Regions from separate parts of the Mus musculus genome. Here all the other regions are reported to be linked to region 3. Evidence: microRNA targets listed by miRTarBase, many of them from high-throughput screens and not tested one by one. Region 3 holds a microRNA gene; each other region holds the end of a gene's coding sequence.
What was found. Region 3 holds the annotated microRNA mmu-miR-155-5p (UUAAUGCUAAUUGUGAUAGGGGU, at 5,695-5,717, opposite strand). A microRNA usually pairs through its seed, bases 2 to 8, with sites in the 3' UTR of a target mRNA and lowers its output. Matches are read on the target gene's strand: a 7mer-m8 pairs with bases 2 to 8, a 7mer-A1 pairs with bases 2 to 7 and ends in A, and an 8mer does both.

Region 1: miRTarBase lists Tle4 as a target of mmu-miR-155-5p. Seed matches in the 3' UTR shown: 8mer at 5,032-5,039.
Region 2: miRTarBase lists Rictor as a target of mmu-miR-155-5p. Seed matches in the 3' UTR shown: 7mer-A1 at 5,232-5,238.

What each region holds. Positions count from the first base shown.
Region 1 is chr19:14,443,134-14,451,012 of GRCm38, forward strand. Tle4 (transducin-like enhancer of split 4) reads right to left here. Exons shown (of 20, transcript NM_011600.3): 20 at 4,939-6,708. The coding sequence ends at 6,601. Among named protein-coding and RNA genes, the nearest start is that of Gm8630, 11 kb to the left of the region's middle.
Region 2 is chr15:6,795,098-6,802,976 of GRCm38, forward strand. It overlaps Rictor (RPTOR independent companion of MTOR, complex 2), which reads left to right. Exons shown (of 38, transcript NM_030168.3): 37 at 799-937; 38 at 1,065-5,304. The coding sequence ends at 1,139. Among named protein-coding and RNA genes, the nearest start is that of Osmr, 75 kb to the right of the region's middle.
Region 3 is chr16:84,711,981-84,719,859 of GRCm38, reverse strand. It overlaps Mir155 (microRNA 155), which reads right to left and starts at 5,720; the gene lies at 5,656-5,720. Mrpl39 (mitochondrial ribosomal protein L39) reads left to right here. Exons shown (of 10, transcript NM_017404.5): 10 at 1,476-1,579. The coding sequence ends at 1,526. It overlaps Mir155hg (Mir155 host gene (non-protein coding)), which reads right to left and starts at 6,837. Exons shown (of 2, transcript NR_132106.1): 1 at 6,767-6,837; 2 at 4,615-5,807.

The DNA.
Region 1 (7,879 bases), not on the chromosome of region 3:
TCCTCTTGATCAAGGCACTTGACCTCTGTACATCTGGTACCTCCTCAACCAAATAGTCTAAAATCCCTTCTCTTCAATTCCAAATTAAATACTGAAGGGTCACTGGAAGTTATCCATGACCGGGGACAAAAGTGACCAGCTCCGGAGCTGTACGTTTCTATAGTCAGTGCACACGTCACTTTGCAGAAGCAGTTTGGATGTCCTGTCCAGAACAGCACTGTGCTTGCCTGTAGGATGCTGCTGGCTGGGAGGCCATACAAGATGCTGCATCCTGTCTTCCTCTCATGTAGCCCTGCCTGGCCTCAAAGCTCATGTTAACTGACATGGGATTGGACTTCTGCGCTTCCCACCTTGACCTCTACGTGCTGATTACAGGTGTTGTGCCATCGTGCCTGGATCACATCTCTTCAAAAGACCTAAAGCATTCTGTGCCCCTAAATACTTGTGGGCCTAAAGATTTAAAAGCAGTTTGAGACCCTCTTCCTTCAGGAAGAGGGATTGAAACAGAGACAGAGACAGGAAAGCGGGAAGCAAAGCATCCTCAGGTGGTGGGTGTCGTGGTAACTTAGTGCTTCTCAGTACTGAAAACAGTGACAACACAGGCACAGAGCACAGAATCAGAGACCTCCTTGTTTGATTTTCTGCCAAGGGGGACATTTCTAATGTCTTTTAAAGGAAATTAAAGGCCAGAGACAGTTCAGTACAGTTGGATTTTTTTGTTTTCGGTCCAAGTTTACATTTTGGTTCTTCGAGAAGTAAATGCCAGTTATATGGAAATGTAGAAGCCTGAGGTGAAAGGTACAACACCACACTCACATCTAACACAAGACTTCAAAACATTAAAGAAAACCCCAGAAGCTGAAGCAACCCATTCACCTTATCTCATTTCCCCGGCAGGTCGGTGATTGGGTCATGAACTTCCAAGTTTTACACATCTAATGTGATGTAATATGATACAAATAACAAGGTCCTGCGGACCTCATGTTTTTGAAGATCCTAGGGGTGTGGTGGGGATGTTGCATTCAAACAACAAAAACGTGACGTGCAGTGAGGTAGAAATGGTATGAAGTCCCAAGTAGCCCATGTGGAGTAGGGTTACGAGCTCCCACTTAAAGCTGGGGCTGCACAAAAATCACTATCTGCTGAGCTCAGCAGGGCACTTCGAACTCTTCACACTCCACGTTCAAGTTAAGGTGGCCTGACATGGGATCCCACGCTCTGGGGGCTGCAGCAAAGTCCATTCATTCCTGATCACCTAAGCCCCCACTAACACTCACTGTGGAATTATGCAAATGCTATCAAAGAACATTGCTTACACTACAGGCAGCGAACCAAGGTCCTGTTCCAGCAAGTACCTCAGACTTCCTGCAATCAGAGGAATGTTCTTGTTCTACAAACCATGGTGCCCAGAAATTGTCATGGAGAGAGGAATTGACTATCACTGTGGGAACCATAACTAATTTTCCTGATCCTGCCATAAAAGTGGAAATCAGATTTCATTAACATGACTGCTTAGAGAAAGCATGAAGAACTACTAACATGTGATGGGTATTTAACAATAAGCTTGAACGGCTGATTTCAATGAATCTCCAAAGCTTTGTTTTGGGGGGAGGAGCTGTACTTTAGTCACAGCTGTACCTGGCTTCTCCTTATTAAGCTAAACTCTACCGGGATTGAAGTATTTGCAGTTCTTCAAGTAATGGGAAGTTATAAAGTCTGGGACAATGGTCTGCTTGCAGGACACTAGTTTGGGCATCTCCCATTGTTCCTTGCTTCTTGAGGGCATCTCTTCTGGTCCATTTTCTAGCAGCCTATGATAAGGTAGGTCTGTTTATCACAGGTCTCTCATGACGAATTCCTACTGAGTCCTTCTAGAACTTCAAGGCCTCCCAAGAGGAAAAATAATCAATCCTAGTTCAACTCACAACCAAGAGTTTCCTAGGAGGTACCAGAACATTTAGCCTATGGAGGGGGTCACAGCACAGGAACTATAAAGACAATCTGCGATGGAACAGAGGAGTTTTCAAGTTGTATGACCTGGATGAAATGGAGCACTGCACAATTAGGTGGAAGCACTGTGAATGCCCCTTCCCATTTCTGGTCCAGTTCTGCTGTACACAGGGTGATTCTGGACCAGTTTCGAGTCTGCTAGCCCCTCAAATTCCCACCAGAGTTTTGATAAATAGCATTTCCCTTGTGACCTTTTCCTTTCTATATAAACAGAACTATGACCGCCCCTCTCTCCTTGCTGGGCCTACTGTGAGATCAAACAGGGCCCCTGTGCTCATAGTACTCTAGACTAAGGTCAGTCCTATGGGAATTATCTGCAGGCAACTATGAAAGTCCCAGCTGAGAAGTCTGTAGCTTAGAAGCCCAGCTATCCTGCAAACTTCTAACATGGAGGTTCAAAATTCTACCACCCATTACACCTCTTGTCAAACACCCCATCAAAAGGAAACAGCCACTACAGCTTAACAAGGCAGAGTTCTCTCTGCCCTTAGCTCAATAGTGTTTGAACACTCTCATAAAACCCTTTGTGCTGTATTCAAGCGACTGAAAATAAACCATTTCCATTGCCAATGTATAATGTGTCAGCACCCCAAAGTGAATAAATGGAATTAGCTCAAAAGAAGAGAGACAGCAGTTGCTACTGCTCTATGACAAATGTCCCCAGAACCCGAGCACTGGCAAGATCCAGGTCACCACTGAAACGCTAGATCTCTCTGGAATATAGCTGAATTAGCACCTTTTTTAAAACTGATTTTTGTAATTGCTTATTCAAGGTTGGACAATGAATCTCGGGGCTAAGTTTCTTACTATTACCAGAAATAAATCCACAAATATCCTAGTCCGTTTTCAGTACAGCACCAGGCCATGAAGGTCCACTGAGGCACCCAAAAAACAACCAATCCTCCTGGCTCATGTTCAGGCTGCTCGCCGGGTTGGCATATCTGTCCAGAATGCCATCTTTTGTTCTCGGTTGGCAGGAATTTTGTGATTGTGTGATGTAGTTTGAACCTAGTGTTTAATTCCCAGCACTTCTAAGTGTTGCAGGCACATACAATATTCCAGGTAGACCCCAATGAAGCCATTTTGCTAAGTATCAGCTCAGAGAGGTATGCAGCTTTGAAATCTGGAGGTCTGCCACTTTGCAGCAGAACCGCCTGTCTAGGAAGGTCCAATGGCTGCTTTGACCTGCCTTTTCCTTTTTCTATAGTTTGTTTACTCAACTCTGTTCTCCCATTCTAAATTTTCTCTTGCTTTGGAGAGAGATGCCTCTTCTTTGTTCTTCGGACTCTGCAAGAACTATACAAAGAGCATAATTTATGGTGAAAGCAGCAACTGACTTTCAGTAATTACTTATTTTCCTTCTTTTCAGAGGTATCAGATCATCAGCACTTGCCACACCAGAGGCATAGTCCCAGACCCTTAAAATTACCTTTATAGTTCAATAATTATGGCAAAACTTCTGTGTACATTAAGACAGGCCTCCAACTTATACAGGTATGCCTCTTGATTCTAGACCTTATTCCCCAGCTAGTAGTATTATTTGGGGGAGGCAGTGGAGCTTTTAAGAGGCCTAGCAGTAGTCACTAGAGGTCACTAGGGGTGGGGGTCTCTGGAGGTTTTACTGCCCCTGGTTCCAGTCTGTGAACTGTGCTTCCCAGTCAGCACCATGTGATTAAAGCCTCTGCCTGCAATCACAAATGGAGCCAATACTGTTACCATGCCTTTTCTGCTGGACTGAAATAGCTCTGTAACAGTGAGCAAAAAAGCAACCGAACAATTCGCCTGCCCCTCTGCCCCCCAACCCAACTATCCTCCCTTAAATTGTTTCCACCAGGTGTTCTGTCACAGAGATAAGAAAAATATACTCTTATAAGCCCAGTACTGGGGAATGGATAAGCTCTCAGCATTATCTATCGACAACAACTGCCACAGAGTCAGTTTATAAAGCCAATTCTCTGTGCCTCTCTGGGTAACCCTACCAGACATATAAGTTGTGTTTTCTGATGTGCAAACGTGTTTTTTCCTTCTGACTTTCTATGTTGTCAGAACCATGCCGACGAGTAACTAACAGAAGTTCAAGGCCCTCTCTATATCCATTATTCCTTCCACGCCCAACAAAGAGTGTCTCCCCACCTCGAGTTGATCTCTATGGATAGTCACTTACTATCTTAAGAAATGATCTCTTATTTCTCAGCAGCTTCAGTGGATTTGCATACCATCCTGCAATGCAGCCAGCTTATGGCATCTCACTGGACTTGCTGATTTGGTCTACATGGGTGAATAACGCTGGAATTCACTCACTTAGTACCTAGCTGGGTCTCCTATGGCTGATCACTGCAGATTACCATGACGATCCCAAATCCTGTCCCACAAATTAGGATTCAAGTTCTTCTTTGCCCTAGTCTTAAAAAAAAAAAAAATCTAACCCAGGATGCTTCCAGAAACTTGTGTGTTTTTTTTGAAAAGTCCTCAAACCCCCACACTTGGCAATGGTCCAATCTGTCAAATTCTGAATGCTGTGTTAGCTCCAGAGCATTCACAACAGTGTGGGAAACATTACCAAAATCTGTGAGGTCCAGTACAATAGCTGTTAGCTCCTGTGGAGCTATTGAGCACTTGAAATTTAGTCTGTATTACTGGCAAAAAAAGGTTTCTAATATTAATTAGTTCCAAGAGTTAAGTTTAAGTAGCTTTAAGTGGCTAGTTTACCAGAATGACAGTAAAAATCTAAATGGTTCAAGTTTGAGAGTTTTGGACTGCTTCTAGATGAAAGACTGTCAACAAAATGAGAGGCTCAGTAAATACTTGGCAACCACCTGCCTTCCATAACTTCTTTCATGCTTTCTGGGTTATCTCAAAAGAAAAATTAAAAAAAAAAAAAAAAAAAAAGAAACAGTTCAAAACCCATAGTACTTAACAATCTGACTTGAATATAACTAGTGATTTTAATATAGGGAGTGGCATAGACAAAGCAATTAGCAAAAATAATTAGAAAATAATCATTCTAGAAGTTATTTATGTTTAATGCTTAAAAGTCTGAATGCACAAACAATCTACCATCATAGAAGTACTGGTGGCCAACACAATGCGTTAGAACTATGTACAATGCACAGTTTAGTATCAAAATCTTTCTACACTGTAGAGTTTTATGAAACTGTTAATGACATCAAACACTAAGCACTTAAGACACCATTTTTTTTGCTACCACACAAAGAACGTCAATGACAGTCCATTTCAGCTTGCAGCATCCATCCATTTCTAGTATGAAATTAAGTGATTTTTCTACTTATACAATAAAGTTTATCTACACAGTTCTTGATTTTGATCCATAGCAGCAAAGGCACTGTACATCAGCAGATCCACAGACTTAAAAGATCTTTTTAAAGCATTCAAACAAAAAATAATAATAAAAAAGGAGTCACATGTTATAGTTTTAACAGCAACAACAACAACAACATAAAAGATAACACAATGTTTCTGGCACAATGGCACAGCCTGTGTCCATTTCAGGGACATCCAACTAAGACATGGAAAGAACCAGAGGTAAATAAAGCAAGCCACCATCCCGGGAGAGGCTCTTCTTTGTGGCTTTCAGAGGGTGGGCTCTGCAAACCCTCCTCTGCTGGCCTTTGTGTGGGAAAGACTTGCTTTGCACAGCGGTAGGCAAGCAGTCCTCCTGTACCTACAGCTCCTAAAGAGCATGACACAAAACAGCCTGCCATGTCTCACAGCATCACAACTGCCCAGAGACACACAGCTTCCTCTGCCAGGAAATTTGGCAAAAATATTTAGAAGAAATTAAGTTCTCTCTTTGAGGCCCAATTTAATTTTTGATCTGTCTATAATACAATAAAAAAAGGAATTAAAAAATATTACAAAGATACTTGTCAACAAGTAAAAAATAAAAAAGAAAAACATCTAATTATTTTTGTTGAATGTAATCTAAAGTTATAGACATATTGGTTAAAGTTGCCCAAATAGACTCAAAGGAATAGTACTTGGCCTGTTATATTCTACTTGTTCAAACAGCCAAATTTCCAAATGTTTTTAATATAAGTAGAAAATAAAACAAAACAACCTCATAACAACACAGCAACATATTGCTTCCGTGTGTAATTATACATTTCACATCTCTATACAGTCAATAGTCTACATTTAGTGACATTTAAATCAGTTATTTTAAACCTTCCTTTCCCCTCCCTCACCAAAAGGGAGGGGTGGAGCATCAAATACAATGCACCTTCATTATCAATGCAGGAGCGGACAGCTTTATTTAGTCAGTCATTGTTAGAAAGCCTTCTTTAAACAAAATAAATATATTACAGATATAATACATAATTAAAGATTCCATTCACTGTTAGGTATTCCATGTTCTTCCAAGACGATAGCTGAAGATTTGGTATCACAGGTTCTTAATGAGTATTCACAATTCAATAGCAAGGAGGAAGTGGGGCTATGGGAAGGGATTAAACTCCACAACTGCAATGAGTATTGGAAATCCTTGGTTTTAGAATGGGAGAGGGGTGAACAGAAAAGTACAACAGCGCAAAGTGCTATGAGGAGGAGTCCAGTTTGCACGAAGATTTGTCCTTAATAAATAACTTCATAAACCGTAGCTTTCTTGTCCCCAGAGCCAGTGACAATGTACTTGTCATCCACAGAGATGTCACAGCTAAGCACCGATGAGGATTCTTTGGACTAGGGAAGAAACATATCAAGAATGTCACATAGAGGAACTGAGCAGCAGGACTGGTGGGTGTGGCTGAGCAGATGTACAACCAAAGTGCTCCCCAGAGCACCAAGTACATCTGCAGATAGAGGGCAGCACCAACATTCCTAGACATGGCAGGAGGACATCATCCTTAGCTTAGGCTAAGGATTCCTGTCCTGAGGCATCAAAGAGAGGTAACTCAATGGTCAGCGGGCTCTGCAATGAGGCAAATCCTAGTTCTTTAAACTCTATTCCTGGGGCTGGAGAGAGAACTCACTGGATAAGAGCACTGAATGCTCTTCTAGAGAACATGGGTTCAAACCCAAGAGCCCACATGGCAGTTTATAACTGTTTGTTTGTTTGTTTTTAAACTCCAGTTTGGGGGAGGGGTTTCCTTCTGCTTTCCTCAAGTACCAGGTATACAACCTGGTCAACAGACAAGCATACAGACAATAAAATAAAAGAACAAACAAACAAACAACCCCCCTTTCTTCACTAGAGAGTACAGAGCAAGTAGGACATTCAAGATCCAAGACCTCAGCTGCCACAGACAGGGAGCCTGGCTCTCGGCGGTACCACAGAGCGGCAAGCACTGCACAGGCCTAACAACTAAAGGCAGACATGAGCCACAATGTCCACTGCTACTAGCACAGAACACGAGAACAGGAAAGAGGAGTTCAATAGTTGGAAACAGAAACACACTCCACTGAAGAGAGGTGAAGGGTGATGAAGGGATGAGGGAAGACCACACACAGACAAGGCTTAAAATAGGACCCTCAAGAATACTGGGAGCATCAGAAGTCACACGTGTAAGACAAGTACCTAATATACTGCATGTCAAACTTTTTTTATTGCAATTGCTAATAATTAAAATACCTAAGACAGTATATACATCGATATAATACTTGTATTTAATAAAAATAAAGTCTAATCTTTTTCTTTCAGTTTGTATACCTAAAAGGTCAAGTATTAAAATTTAAGCTTCAGCCAGGCATGGTAATGCATGCCTTTAATATCAGCATTCAAAGGCAGTGGCAAGTGGATCTCTGTGAGTTACAGGCCATCCAGGGCTACATAGTGAAACCTTGTGTCATATAAAACAAGAAAGGGGAGAAGGCAGGTATGAGTGTCATGACAGTAACATCAGCTACTCTGTCA
Region 2 (7,879 bases), not on the chromosome of region 3:
CTGCCCGGCTCTCAACCACGTCTCAAGAAAGTTGAGGAGACCTAAAGAGCACAAGCTTGAAAGGCAGCCGAGGCTGCTGCGAGTTCCTGCTTAACCTGGGTTTCTCAGTCAGAGCCTGATGAATGACAATTGTGAGAAAATCATCTTTATTTGCACAGCTCAGGGTTGTGCAAGCAGTGGTTGTCTAAAGACGTATATGTGTGCTCTGTATGTGTGTTGGCCGTGTGGTCCAGAGCTGCAAGAGTGAGGCTGTCAGCCCAGCCTCCCACCCACATGGCTGCTCCTGACGTGCTGTCCTCATGGAAAGATAGTCAGCCAGAGATAACTAATAACTTAAATGCCTTACAGTGTGAGCATGTTATGTAGTCGTGCTAGTCTAATAAATACAATTCATAATTTCCTGGTGTTACTGGAAAATAACTTTACAATAAGCACTCAGATCTTGATACTCTTTCAAAATCAGACACTTGAACTGTCTAAAGTGTAAACTAGAAATGCTTCCCAGTAAGCCAGCTATGGTGGCATCCACATGTCATCCTGGCACTGGAAGATGGAGGCAGGAGGGCCTGGAGTGCGTGAGGCATGGGGGCATTGGTCAAGGCTGGAGGAAAAGACAGACAGACAGACTGACTGGCTGGCTGACTGACTGACTGCCTTATACTAGTAAGGCACTGTTGCTAACACTCCATCTAGTCAGTATCCGGGGTGAGGGAAACTTAGCAGCAGTGTCATTTGCTGGGGTGGAGTGAATATATCGTGTGCTATTTTATCACGGCGTGTTCTCTCTTTTAATTTTAGCATTAAAGAGAAGTATCCTCAAACATTTGATGACATATGCCTTTATTCTGAAGTTTCTCATCTGTTGTCACACTGCACATTTAGACTTCAGTGTCGGCGGTTCATACAAGAGTTATTTCAGGATGTACAGTTTTTACAAGTAAGGAAGACTGTAGTTCTGAAATTTGTCTCCCAGAATTATTCTGTATTTGAAGTTGAAAGTTTATGTCTATATTACATACCAATTTTATTTTTTAAAAAATTAACAGTTTATTACTTCTTCCTAGATGCATGAAGAAGCAGAGGCTGTGTTGGCAATTCCACCAATTCAGCCTATAGTTGATGAGTCTGCTGAATCCTGACCTCATGCTTATGACGTTTATAGCTGGATACTCTATATGTATTCCTACTGTGGACTTCCTGAAAGCCCCACAGGATACTGACTGGCTGACAGTGAGGCAGGAGAGCCTTCTGACACTGGCCAGCAGTTATTGGTACAGAACAGCTGGGACTGCTGGCATTCCTAGCCAAGCCAACTTCTCTCCCGCGTTGGGCCCTTCTCGGGGTTCGTGGTTCATTACCATGGTTTTAATTCAGTTACCATCATATGCAAGAGCCAAGCACTGAATATCTACATAGGTTTTCTATTTTTTTATTTTCAAAGCGCAATGGCAGTGGAACAAAACAGGACATGAAGACGCATCCTTCACACCGTTGTTTTCTGAATGCTTTTTAATCAAGGGTAAATACAAAAGATGCCTTGTTTGTTAACTAATTTGTGGAAAGCAGGAGTCACTGACTCCGAGACTGCATCCTGTTACCCCGTGGGCTGTAACTGCTGGTATCAGAGGAACACACTCGCCTTTCCACACTTCTTAATGTCTGTAACACTACTTCAGAGGTTTATAACTTCACAGCAGAAGGAACACCTCAGCACTCGGAACTTGGAAGTTAGTTTACGATGCTAGATGCATAAGGATGCTTACTTGTCCTCTGTCGCTTCAGGTTGTTGCAATACGTTGTTAAAGGCTATTTCTACTAATTAAGGTTTTTCACTATGGTTGTGATGTAGTAAGGAGTAAATACTTCTCGTGTTCAGAGCACATTGTACCCAACCTCCTCCACTCCTCTCACCACTTACAAGGGACTGAGCCAGATGAGCAGTCTGGACAAAGCAAAGGAAGCATGAAGTGAGGCTGCAGTCTCTCAAGGAAAAGACAGCTTTGCCTGCAGTTTACACATTCCATGGGAAAAAGGAAGAGCCATATGTCCTATTAAAACGTCATTGAGACTCGTTATTAAGATTCAGAATTGTGGTGAAAAGCCTTAATTACTAAATTTTAAAGCAGCGATAATTTAATTTTTGTTAGTGTTCCTGTTTTGCATAAATTGCAGTTATAGGTGAGTTAAAAGTATAGTCATTGCCTTTATCACATTTGTGAAGTTGATGAAGGCGAGACTTTGTCTGTCTAATTTGTTTATGTATAAAGAGACTTGGAAATCTTCACAGGAATTAAACATATATGCAAATTTGTACATAAAGTAGCATGAACATCATTACTAGACTGCTTACGCGTGAAAGGGTTATCTTGGAACAAACCATCCAGCTGACTAGGACTGACTAGGACCTTTGCAATTCCTTTGTGTAACCCATTTTACAATTGCACATCAGCTTTAACATGTCATAGACATTGGTCCATATTTTCCCATGTCGTACACCCTTCTCATAATGGTCTTGTTTGCAAGACTGCTGTAAAGTACCCTGTGAACTAGAAAACATAACTCACAGAAATTTGTCTTTGAACTTGCTGGCACTGAAAGTTGGCACTGAGACGAAGCATTTCCTGTCCCTCCTGACTCCTCTTTGACTGCACTTGAGCGAGTTGTTCTTCTGTGCACTGTATAGCAACTTCCATGATAACAAAGCAGACAAGGGCTCTAAGCTGCTGCTCACATTACAGCACAGTTCGCATTTTCCCAGAAAATTCAGTGAGGGTAAAACTTTCTTTTCAACTTCATCACTGAACCCGTGTTCATTAAATGTCAGCAGTGCTTGAAAGAGCATGCCTATCACCTTGGTCTTTGGTCTTGGACAATAAAACTGCCTTTCCAGAGAACCAAATGTCAGAGATACTAGACCAAATAATGGTTACAATTCCAAAGGAAGTAATGTAGTCTTATTCATAAATGGGATTAACATTTTAGACATTCATTTTAAACACTACCTCAGTTAACAGAGTAGAAAATCTGTGGTTTCGTCCCTTGAGAGTTAATGATAACTATTCTTGTTTGTTTTTCTTCACACAAAACTATGCCCATTCTCGCGCCCAAGTCAGCCATCATGAACCTGAGGCTGTGCCCTAGTGTCCTAAGCCAAGGATTGTGTTTTCACTTTGACTGTTACTTTGAAAGGTGTGTGTGTGTGTGTGTGTGTGTGTGTGTGTGTGATCATATCTGCCTATAGCACTTACTTTGGGAAGATATCAGAGCTTTGTGATGATCAGTATACTGGGGGAAATTGTCTATGCTTAAATTTATAGTGCTATTTGGTTTAACCATGGTTTCACCAACAGGTGTAATACATTTCTTTTTAAGTACATGTATAAAAGTAGACTTTTATGACGAAAACGACATGCAGTGCCAAGTGATTAGCATAGGTGTTTAAGACTATTAAATTATAGCAGAAAAGGTTATGAATGATGTCAATGGTAATAGCAATCATTGAAAAATTGTCTATAAATATTAGATATTACCAAAATGTCAATACCGTAGTTTTTCAAGAGTTTAGAATTAATCTTAGTCATATAAATTTGTACTATTGATAATTATTTAATAATTTGGAGGAGTTTGAACAGTTAAGCTGGTTGTAAACTGTGAATTTCTAATTGTAAATTGTCATTTCTAATTGAAATTTTTTCAAGAACAGATTTCAGCTTCACATACTAAGTACTGACAAATAAAAAAGTGAGAAATTTAGTATTTATAAGAAAATAGGCTCTAAAATGTCTTATGCTTTTCTGTTTCTGCTTAGAGTATAATGGAGGAAGACAGTGTCCCCTGACCTAAGTGTTTCTAATAAAGAGTAAGTGTAGAGACATCCCACAAGACAGCAGCAGTGCAAGGCTCTTAGGAAGTGTGTGCACTGTTGCTGTGGTGATGTATCCAAGTCACCAGGAGCCGTGTCCTCAGGAGCTTTCGGCTCTTGTCCAGAGCTTGAGACAGTTGAAGCTGGGTTCCATCACTGAGACCAGATGTGCGTAGGGGCTGCTAGTGTGTGTGTAAACTGCCCACTGCTGTTTCCATGCACTCTCAGCCCCTTCAGCTGATGCCCCTGGTGCCCCACTCAAAGCACAGACCATTAAGCAATAAACAAAATTGTCATTCAAATTATAATTGTGGTTATTCTCCTGTGATAAGAGGTGCTAATTTTGTGTGAGAAGAACATGTGACCTCTTTGGAAATATAGTTTGGAAGTAAAGTTTTTCCCCCTCTTCTTGTACTTCCATTTTGTCCCAAATTCACAGTTCATGAAAGAAAAGTAAAATTGTTTAGGAGACTTCTAAGAAGAGCTGCTTGCAATAAACATTTCAGATTTTCCCGAGTGTGAGTTGGGAAGGTCTCCATTTCCTCCATACTGACAAAGCCTGTTGTTCCAACGTCTCTTAGCTTGGAGAGTGTCTCTACACTGAGTCTCACCTCAGCCTGCCAGTGACCCTGAGGTCACTGCTGAGGAAGACACAGGAGTCTGCACTAGTCTTTACAAGAGCCGTTGTCATTTCAGGTCCCCGGGGGTTCATTACAGTACATTTATACAACTCACAAGAGTGTGGGATTCCGCCCCTTTGAGTATTTTTATAGTTAGGTGGATAACTGCCGCAGATGCATGGATTGCACATTTTGACTCTATAATACTTAGTATGAAAAATTAATTTATGCCAAAAAAAAAGGAAACATATCTTACAATTTCCCCAACTAGGTTGATCTAGCACAAGATGCAAAGTCTTGGGGCAGAGCGGGAGTGGTAAAATCTTTTAATGTATGATTGTTGAAAAATGTTCCATTACTAGCCTGTCAAAAACCCTAATGATGCATTGTAAAACAAATGATGTAAATTAAATTAGCTTTGAAAAGTGGTAAGGGATTATAAAGAGGATCTCAGATTTAATGCTCTCTGACCACATGACCTTTTTTTTTTTTTTTTTAGTAATACGCTGCTACATTTTTGGAGGTTCTGGTGTTTGTAGGTCACTGAACAGACATTGAAATCTGATTTATATTGTATAACTGTAACATAGAAAGAAAAAGTATTTATATATTTTCCTTAAGAATATTTCATTGAGTTGTGTATAATTTAAATAAGATTTGTCCCAAAATGGTTTTGCTCACTTTGATTTTTTTGTTGTTGTTATTGTGGTTGTATTGTTTTTGTACAATGTGTACAGTTTATGTTAAGGGCATTAAAGCCTCCTGAAGCATAATCTTATCAAAGGGATTCATTGTTAATAAAATGTACTTAAAATTCTTAAACTTGTGGTGGTGTTGACATTATTTGAAAATTTAATGTGTCTCATTGGGCCTTGGTATGAATCATGTGCTGATGTTGACAGGTGTGGTTTCTAGTAAATGGGGGTTTTTGAGTCTATAAATGGGCATGGTCTTGTACCACGAAAAGAGGTCCCACTTGTACTTCCTTGGCATTCTCCCAAATTTAGTGTGCCATGCTTACTCTTCAATTTCAAATCATTACGGTGAAGGATTTGGACCTAGAAACGTCTTTAAGTAGAAGAGCTCTGGGCTTGCTGAGGTAGTGTTAAGACAACGACCACCATGGAAGTGGTTTGATGCTCAGGAGTCTACACACACTCGCCTGAGCAGATAGGCCAGCCTTCTGCCGCCTTGGCTAGACTAGCGCACCACAAGAAAAGAGCCAGCTGAGAAACTCGCTGTGGCAGTTGCTGAAGTCTGTTTTCCCACCTTGAGCAAGCTGGTTGCAGGGGTTTGGACTGTGTTCATATCTTGCTCACACGCTATACTGTGTTTACCAGAAATGTCGTTAACACCCAGGTGAGGAGTATGCCTAATATTTTCATACTTGAATAGGACAGTGATAGGTTTTATTTTTAAAGGGTCTCCAGATGCAAGTATTCACATAGCAGGAGACATAGCTCAGTGGTTAAGAGCACTAGCTCTTCTTCCAGAGGACCTGGGTTCAAATGCCAGCACCCACCTGGTGGTTTATAGCCATCTGTAATGCTAGTTTCCTCTTCTGGTGTCTAGGCATCAGGCATATACATAGGCACAGGTGGAGGCAGACATACACACAAAATGTTAAAAATACTCAAACCACTGTACTAAAATTTTAATGAATATTTCATGAAATAATATCTCAAAGCACTGTGGTTTTCTTGGTGCTCATCTGGAGCACTAGGTGAGCTTCATACACTTAGAGCCAGGAATTGGAGATAACTCACGATCTTGTTTGTCAGCTTCTTGCGCGCGCCAGACTGGCCAGCAGTAACGACGCTGCAACAGGATCCTTCTGCACACATTTATTGGGAGAGCTTGATTGCAGAGACCCCGAGCCCAGAACTGGTGCTGCCTATATAGGCCTAGGAGAGGCGTGTCTCACACCTGGATTGGTTATGCACTAAGCCTCATTTGCATGTTCCTCATTTGATTGGCTACTCTCTCTGTACCTCACAGAGCCTCATTATCATACCTCATTTGCATGTCTCACATCGGATTGGTTATACTCTCAAAGCCTCATTATCATGCCCAGGCCAGGCAGTGTCTTTGCAAAAAGCTTTACTGCATATGTACACATTGGTTGGTTGTCCAAACTTATGCATGGTGGCCAGCAGTAGTCAGTGCCACTCTGCAACGGCACATGTGGCTTCCCACATCTCCCCCTTTTTGTTTTAATAAAATGAGGCTGGACTAGGCCTGTGCAATTATGTCCATCCGCCGTGGCTCCTGTTTTAGGTCGTTCCTCTGTTTCACAGCCTTACCCGTCATAGGGTAACCCTATCGCCACCGGGCCCTGTGTCTTAGGTTGGACTGTGCATGAGGAAAGTTGCCTGTCTCTGGATACCACAGTGCTGTGTGACAGTAACTGCTAAATGACCTAGGGAGAACTTTGCAAAAGAGGCCAGCCAAAAAATGAATTAGTGGGGAAATCATGATCACCCTATCGCTTGCAATGAGGAAACCTCAGTGATGTGCAAGGGCTGATCAATGATCGTTGAGTCTCTCTCATCTCAGTGCCGTGGAGTGCAAGAGCAGAGAACTCAGATGCCAACTAATTCTTGAGCATAGATAACCAAATTTCAGGGGAGGAGCCGTTTTCAATAGCTAAAAGTGCCTGAGTTATAATCACCTTGTCACGTTTTTTGTTGGGTTCTGAATTTGCATACCAACCAGAGCATGAACACCAGTCCACAGCATATGGCAGCACCAAACAAAATCACTCCCACCCATTCCTTAAAGTAAGAAAAAACAGAGGTGAGCCAAGAGGTAACTGGTTCCACTCTGGTCCCATTAATAAGGTTCAGGATCTGTATCTGCAGCCTCGTCTGCAACCTTTCCAGCTTCTGCAACCAGTTCCCCTTCAGGTAATTTGTTAGGTCTGTACTTTTAATAAAAGAATTATTAATATACCTATTGGGAGTAATGCACACATGCGATGTGGATGCCACACAACTCATTTGTATGACATCCATCATCTGTTCCATATTATGTTGTAAAATATCCACTCTCTGATTCACTAACATTAACCCTGAGGTGATATGAGAATCCACCCTTTGCAGGGTAAGCAATACTTAAGACGATTTTTCTGCTATCTGACTTATGGTGTCAGCAGTATTAATTTGATGGGCCATAGCAGTTCCTGCGGTAACCACAATGGCTGTAACAATGGCAGCTGTGATTCCAAAACCTCTCTTTTGCTGAACAAGACTCATTATCGGGAACTTCTCTGGATCTGCCTCAACAGGCAACAGGGACAAAGGTTGGTAGATGTACCACTAAGACTAAGAAATTGGTTCCATTCCAGCATTGCGTCAAAAAACAAGTGACATTTGTACAATCTAACCACTCTGTATTA
Region 3 (7,879 bases):
TGTGGTTGCTGGGACTTGAACTTCGGACCTTCGGAAGAGCAGTCGGGTGCTCTTACCCACTGAGCCATCTCACCAGCCCGCTATGTTAGTTCTAATTGAGTCCCCACCCAAGATATAAGATACAATTTCCTAAACACATGAAACTCAAGAAAAATGAAGACTGAAGTGTGAACACTATGCCCCTCCTTAGAAGTGGGAACAAAACACCCTTGGAAGGAGTTACAGAGACAAAGTTTGGAGCTGAGATAAAAGGATGGACCATGTAGACACTAGCATATCCGGGGATCCATCCCATAATCAGCTTCCAAATGCTGACACCATTGCATACACTAGCAAGATTATGCTGAAAGGACCCTGATATAGCTGTCTCTTGTCAGAGTATGCCTGGGCCTAGCAAACATAGAAGTGGATGCTCACAGTCGGCTATTGGATGGATCACATGGCCTCCAATGAAGGAGCTAGAGAAAGTACCAAAGAAGCTAAAGGGATCTGCAACCCTATAGGTGGAACAACATTATGAACTAACCAGTACCCCGGAGCTCTTGACTCTAGCTGCATATGCATCAAAAGATGGCCTAGTCGGCCATCACTGGAAAGAGAGGCCCATTGGACACGCAAACTTTATATGCCCCAGTACAGGGGAACGCCAGGGCCATAAAAGGGGAGTGGGTGGGTAGGGGAGAGGGGGTGGGTGGCTATGGGGGACTTTTGGTATAGCATTGCAAATGTAAATGAGCGAAATACCTAATAAAAAATGGAAAAAAAAATAATTTTATAAACTTAATGAGCATTTGAAAAATGAAGGCTTCTGAGCTTTAAAGTTGCCATGACTGTTAAATATGTGAATGTCCTGGAACTGAGATTCAAACATGGCTTTAGTGTTTGAGCTGCCCATGTAAGTTGTTAATTTTTTTGACTTCTTTCACTCTCGTTGTCTGATAGCTGCCCTGTGAACCTACCTCACCAGCTCTTCCTACTTAGTCTAATTTCCAGTCACCTTTTGAACTTGAAAATAAGGCTTACAGACAAACAGATTACGCACATGACATTTATTTTCAAGTTGCCTACTTTTTCAGGCCACTTGTGTCCATGGGTTAGGAACATGGAACTTACTGGTACCCTTTGCACTGGGTCTGTAACAGTCTCTTCCAGATAGACATGGGCCCGCAGTAAGACACATTGATGAAGAATACCCTGTGTTTCCCTCCTGCTAATTTTCTCATAGTAATGCTTTTGTTTTATAGATAAGAATAAGGTGAGAAACTTAGGAAGCCTACGTTAATATGCCTTCTGTTATATAGTTTTTAATGGCCACACTTGGTGGTTTATATCGGAACTTGTTTTGTTGTTGTTAAACTCTGTGATAATTCCTGAAGGAAGTGGGACAGGTCTTCACAGGAGGGGGAGTGGGGGTTGAACTGTGCACAGGGTGGGCTGAAAGAGCCGGAGGAGTAAAACTGTTGCTGTCTTCACAGGTAACTGAAGATGAAGTCAGACAGACAGAGAACACCGAATCCACCCAGTAGTGTTCTAAAATTTAAACTTGTAGAGTAAATTAAAATAAAAGCTTTTAATACAATGTGTGTTTGTCCCTGCTCTGCAGATACAGACTTTAAGGAGGTCCATGCGCCTCCTCCCCATGGATAGACACATGGGAAAATACACTGTGTGTGCGCCAGTTTGGGCTGTTTAAAGAGTGCTCTAGTAAACATCCATGTTCGAAATAATGTGTTTGCAGATGGGCGATGCTGTTAACTGTGTCGCTACTATGTGCCAGTGTGTTAAGCACCCCTAGGCCCCTCCCTCCCCGGAGCTTCTCTGTTGTTTTATTTGAGCCAGCGTCTCAGTGTGTAGTTAAACCTGGTCTGGAACTGGCTATGCAGCCCTCCTGCCTCTGCCTTCCAAGTCCTAGAATTAGGGTGTGAGCATCTTATTTAATTCCCACTTGTTAAGACAGTGTTTCTGTTTCATCACCATAGAGAGTGCAGGTGATCTTACCAAGGCTGCTCTACTCTCACAGGTGCTGCCGCCCGCAGGGATACCTGGATAAGTTTGCATTCTGGTAGCGGAGTTCTGTTAGATGCTACCAGATGCTAGCCTCCAAAACTAGTTTTCTCTTTTTAGATTATATATATATATATATATATGTGTGTGTGTGTGTGTGTGTATATATATATGTATGTATATATATATGTATATATATATGTGTGTGTGTGTATATATATACACATATGTAATAAACATTATTATGAAAATGTTGTAAATAAAAATATCATATACCGAAATTCACTAGGCCCGGCTCTCATTCCCTAGAGCTGTTCCCCACTGCCTTCCTAGGGGAAAATCCGTAAGGCAAGGTGAACTGGGTGCCTACACCGGCTTTTAGCTGTGCTGGCTTTGAGCAGCTGTTTGACTAGATACGGAATTCTATTTTGAAAACAGTTTCCTATCAGGACTCAGAAAGAGCCCAGTTGGCTTCTGGCAAGTGACAATGCTGACAAGACTGACAGCCTGGTTCTTGTCTGATTTTAACCTGAAGCTCTGTGCTGGACACTTGTGGGACCTTGCTTTTGTTGTTACGGGATTCTGACATTCTGTAGCTGTGCCGGTCTCTTGGTCCTTAGTGGGTCTGCTCACTTAGGAATTTTGAGCTGTATTTATTTAATTTCCTTCGTTCGCGTGTTTTTCCCACTTGTATTTTACTTCAAGTTTCCCCATTCTTTCATGCCCTGACCATTTATTCTCAGGAAATGACTGTTATGCCACAGTTTCTATGTGTGCCTCAGTCTGTCCCAGCTTTCTCTCCTGTCCTACCTCTGCTACTAGGTTTATTTAGCTGATGAGAGCGAGCAAGAAAAGCTGGGTTTCCTTTTCTAATTATTTCCTAGTTAGTTTCTTTACAAAAAATCTTTTTCTAATTACTTATACATCCCGACTAGAACTTCCTCTCCTCCCAGTCCTTTCTCCCACCTCATCCACTCTGTTTCTCTTCAGAAAAGGGGAGGCCTCCCATGGATATCAACCAGCCCTAGCATAAAAAGTTGCAGTTAAGGCTAGGCACATCTTCTCTCGTTGAGGCTAGACAAGGCAGCCCATTAGGCAGCCTGAAAGGGTCCCACAGGCAGGCAACAGTCAGAGGCAGCCCCTGCTCTCACTGTTAGAAGTCCCACATGAAGACCAGGAAAAACTTGTTTTCTAACTCTCAGCCAATGGCTTCAGGGGCTGGTCTGTGCCCAGGTCATCCTATGTAATTCAGTGCTTCATTCCCTTTAGTCTTCTGTGCACGAAATTGGGCTGCCCTTCCTTTACTCACACACACACACACACACACACACACACACACACACACACACACACAAACTTCCTCATTACTTACTCTCCACTCCAAACACACCCAGCCTTAACTCATACTCCAAGAATTTTTGGAATGACTGGAAATGTTGGTCAGGAATAATCCATCTGTGATGCCAAGAGGTCAGCTAGTAGAGTTGGGCATCCGGGAAGACCCAGCCTGCTGGCCACGTCTGGGTTGTGTGGGTGGTTAGGGTGGGATGATAGCTGAGGAGGTGGCGTGTTCCAGGGACGCCTGCTGCGTCGATTTAGATTATGGACTTATACATGTTTCAAGGTTTGTATGTATTCATCACTTAAATGCTGGTAGAAAGTGTGTTCCCTCTTGTGGTATTTCATCTAAGCCTTAATAAAATTACATCACAGAGATACACACACTGATGGAGAAACAGACATGGAGCAAGTGATTTGCCTAAGCATGCAGTAGGTGTTACAGTGCTTTATGATTTCAGAGCTTTTGATTGGAACTGCTGGAGGGTAATGTAGAGAACGCAGCGGGTTCCTAGCTTTCTGTGACTTTGTGGTTGTAGGCAGCAAAAAGGATTTTGAAGAATTGAGACTCGGTACAAGGACTCCTGAAGCTCCATCCAAGGGTTGAGAGGAGGAATTTATGTCGGCAGCGTACTCGGCAGAAGGCAGTGGGGCAGTGGGGGTGGCGTGCCCTGTCTGTGTCATGGCAGGCAGGGGCATTCCTCTCACTGTCCTTGTGACTTATTCCATTGTTGTCTTTTTTGTGTGTCTTCTGAAATCACAGTCTGTACTTTGCAAAAGAAAGGGTCATCACAAACAAAAAGTATTCTAAGCCAACTAAAGACTCAAAGACATTTATTTGGCTATAGGGAAGACAATGACAAGATATTCAGGAGAACTATCAGAACAGGTATAAATTAGGGCTGGTGAGATGGCTCAGTGGGTAAGAGCACCCGACTGCTCTTCCGAAGGTCCAGAGTTCAAATCCCAGCAACCACATGGTGGCTCACAACCATCCGTAACAAGATCTGACTCCCTCTTCTGGTGTGTCTGAAGACAGCTACAGTGTACTTACATATATACATAAATATATATATACATATATATACATAAATAAAAAGTCTTTAAAAAAAAAAAAAAAGAACAGGTATAAATTAAATATAACAAGTCCAGCTGTCTATGTGTTCGTCAGTGATATCACTGTGGAGAAAAATTGCATAGGAATTCAAACATTAAACTTCTGTATATCAAATTATTACCTATGTCAGGCAACGGGGTGAGTTTTGGATTGGCTTTAAGACATCACTGTGGGATTTTATTACCTTACAAAGAGTTGTTCATCTCCAGTGAGCTGCACACCAACCTTGTAAAGTTTCATCCGCATTCATGAAGAAATGCGTAGGAAACGTGGGTCTCCTTACTACACAGCTTTACTGTGCAGCTAAAGCAGTAAGCTTGAACCCAGATTTGGGTTTCATTTCAAATGTGAATATTTGAAATTAAATATTAATTAAATTAAATATTTATACCGTGTGAGGAATATATAGGTAGCCCTCAGGAATGATTTGTCATGTCACTTTTTAATACTTCATCTTATTTTCTTAATTTTTTGATAAGGCATTTTTCTGTGTAGCTAAGGCTGTCCTGGAGCTCACTCTGTAGACCAGGTTGGCCTTCGACTCAGCCATCTGCCTGTCTCTGCCTCCCGAGTGCTGGGATTAAAGGAGTAAACTACCAACAGCTGGCTCATAGATTTTAAAAAAATCATTCAGTGTTGACTCAGTTTTTCCTTACCTAGCCCTAAACTCTAACACTAACCCTAAATTTTTCCTTACACTAAAACACAAGAGTTACAAATTTTAAATCAAAGTTGACTAATACATTGTAATGTGGAAAAAATGCCAATTCCAAGTCTTACAAGAGGTATTCCAGACAATCCTAGATGTCAGTCGAGAATGGCCGTCCTGAATTTTAACTACAGAAATATAGAAATGTCCTTTTTAGTGCATTCATTTTGTATTCTGGTTGAATCATTGAAGATGGTTATGAACATAATTTTGAAATAAAAATGATACAAGTTTCACTTTCCATTCAAGATAAAAAATAAACATGTGGGCTTGAAGTTGAGATGTTGTTTAGGATACTGCTGATCTATCTTTTAAATGACATTTATCGTAACACTTACAGTGGACTATCCTAGTAACCAGGTTATGACTAGCACATTAAATGATAGAGTCTGACATCTACGTTCATCCAGCAGGGTGACTCTTGGACTTGTCATCCTCCCACGGTGGCCATTTGTTCCATGTGAGTGCTAGTAACAGGCCTTGTGTCCTGTTAATGCTAACAGGTAGGAGTCAGTCAGAGGCCAAAACCCCTATCACAATTAGCATTAACAGCATACAGCCTTCAGCAAGCCTCCAGCAGCCAGAGGATAAGGGATATGCAACTTAAACCACACACTTCCCCTTCCTGGTTTGCAGCACCTGCAAAGAGAAAAAGAAATAGTTGTGTGTACGCACACAGTTAGTTATAAAGTAGAGTGAACGATTATGAATCTGAAGGCAAGGTAGACTTCAGCTTTGAAAGAAAAGAGCTCTGAAATGCTTCTAAGTAAATTTTGGAAAATTTTTGTAAGGTTTGCAATTTAAAAACTAATTATAAAATCAAACTTTAAATTCTGTGGAAATATTTGAATACATGTATCATTTTTAACACAGCCACGGTTCATAGTTCTACAATGCTGAAGTTCAAAGGACACAACTTCAGTTCTGGGTAATATTCTGACGTACATCCCACAGGTCACTAGGCAATTCAAGAAATCTCAGATATTTAGGATGGTACTTTATGATTTTTGAAAGTTAAAACTCAATGGATGAACCCATTTTGATTCTATAAATAGTAGTTGCGATTTTCACCTTATTCGTTTTTCTTTTTCTTCAAGATAGGGGGTACAGCCAGGGCAGGTCTGCCCTGAAAGGTATCTGAAAATGCTCCTGTTGTCCTCCAGTGATTCCTTTGGGGACTCACAAACCGGTGGCTTCAGTTTGACCCATGTAAAGGAAGTGCGCCTTAAAGAGCTCTGACTCAAGGGACTTGTCTCCAGCAGAGTGGTTTAGAAAAAGAAAAAAGATGAATTTGCTGTTTCCTGTTAGAGTTGGATTTTACTCTCTCAGATAAAGTGACATTTCTCCCACAAGTTTCTGGTTTCAGTGTTACTGTACGCGAACCTAGAAGTTCAAGCATCACTCAAGTCTGTGGTTCCCTTTAGGACCAGAGGGGAACCACCTTTTCTTTTCTTTAATAATGAAACCAGCTAGATGTAGAAATGTGATTAAGTTCAAAAGAAATGCATCAAGTTAAAAATTCCCCAGTGAATATATTTTGACAGGGCAGAATATCGTGGCTTGGAAATTTCCAAACCAAGGAAATATATCATACTTACTGATAGTATTTCTTTTTTAAACTTTGCTGTTTTCTCAGATGAGCTGGTTTCATGAGGAAAGTCTGTGAATTACACAGTTTCAATCTTGGATTTTATTTCAGCCAAAAGAAAGACTGTAATAATACCTTTTCTCTTCATAGTGCATTGAACTCAGTAAGTCCTCAGTAAATCTATTAAGATTCTAGTGTTCTACTTCATGCCATATTATTGACCCATTAGGGAGAATATATGCAACTGTGCATGTGTGCATGAGTGCCTACATAACCCCATTCCAATTTAAGTAAATAACTTATCTATAAGTTCTGTTTCTATCCTTTAAAGATACCATCTGAATAAAGGTATTACCAAGAATATATTTAGTATAGGTAGCCAAGGTTGCCCTATATAACCTAGGCTGGCCTTGAACTCATGACCTTACACTTCAGTCTCCCAAATTCTGGAATTATAGCCATATACCACCACATCTGGCTATATATATATAGCCATATATACATATATATGTATAGCCATATATACATATATATGTATATTACATATATACATACATGTGTGCACACATACACACCTATCTATCTATCTATCTATCTATCTATCTATCTATCTATCTATCTATCTATCTATCATCTATCTACATGAAAAGCCTAGGTTTGATTCCCAAGTACCACATACATGGACACTGGTGCAGCCTTTGATCTCAGGACTTGAGAGATGGACTTAGGAGGATCATGAGCTCAGGGCTGTTCCCAATTACTTATCACCTCTGGGGTCAGCTTGGGCTATATTGGACCCCGTCTCAATAAATAATAAAATATAATGTTAGGAATTGCTATTGCAATCAACTCTTTTGACCTTAGGTAAAAATCTCGACCAACCTTAAGCACTATATTTAGTTCAGACAAATCGTAAGTCCAGGTCCCATTCACTATGTGGCATATCACCATTTCTCTGTGGTATAGCCTAAACCTAAGGACATTCCAGGAGAATATAATTAGACTTTTCTTCAGGATAATATTTTGAGGTATAAGGGAGGCATAGAATGTCACAATCTGTCTAGTCTTGCTGATTTGCCAGGGAAAATGTTATCAGCTAAGGTACTCAGAGAAGAATATGTCC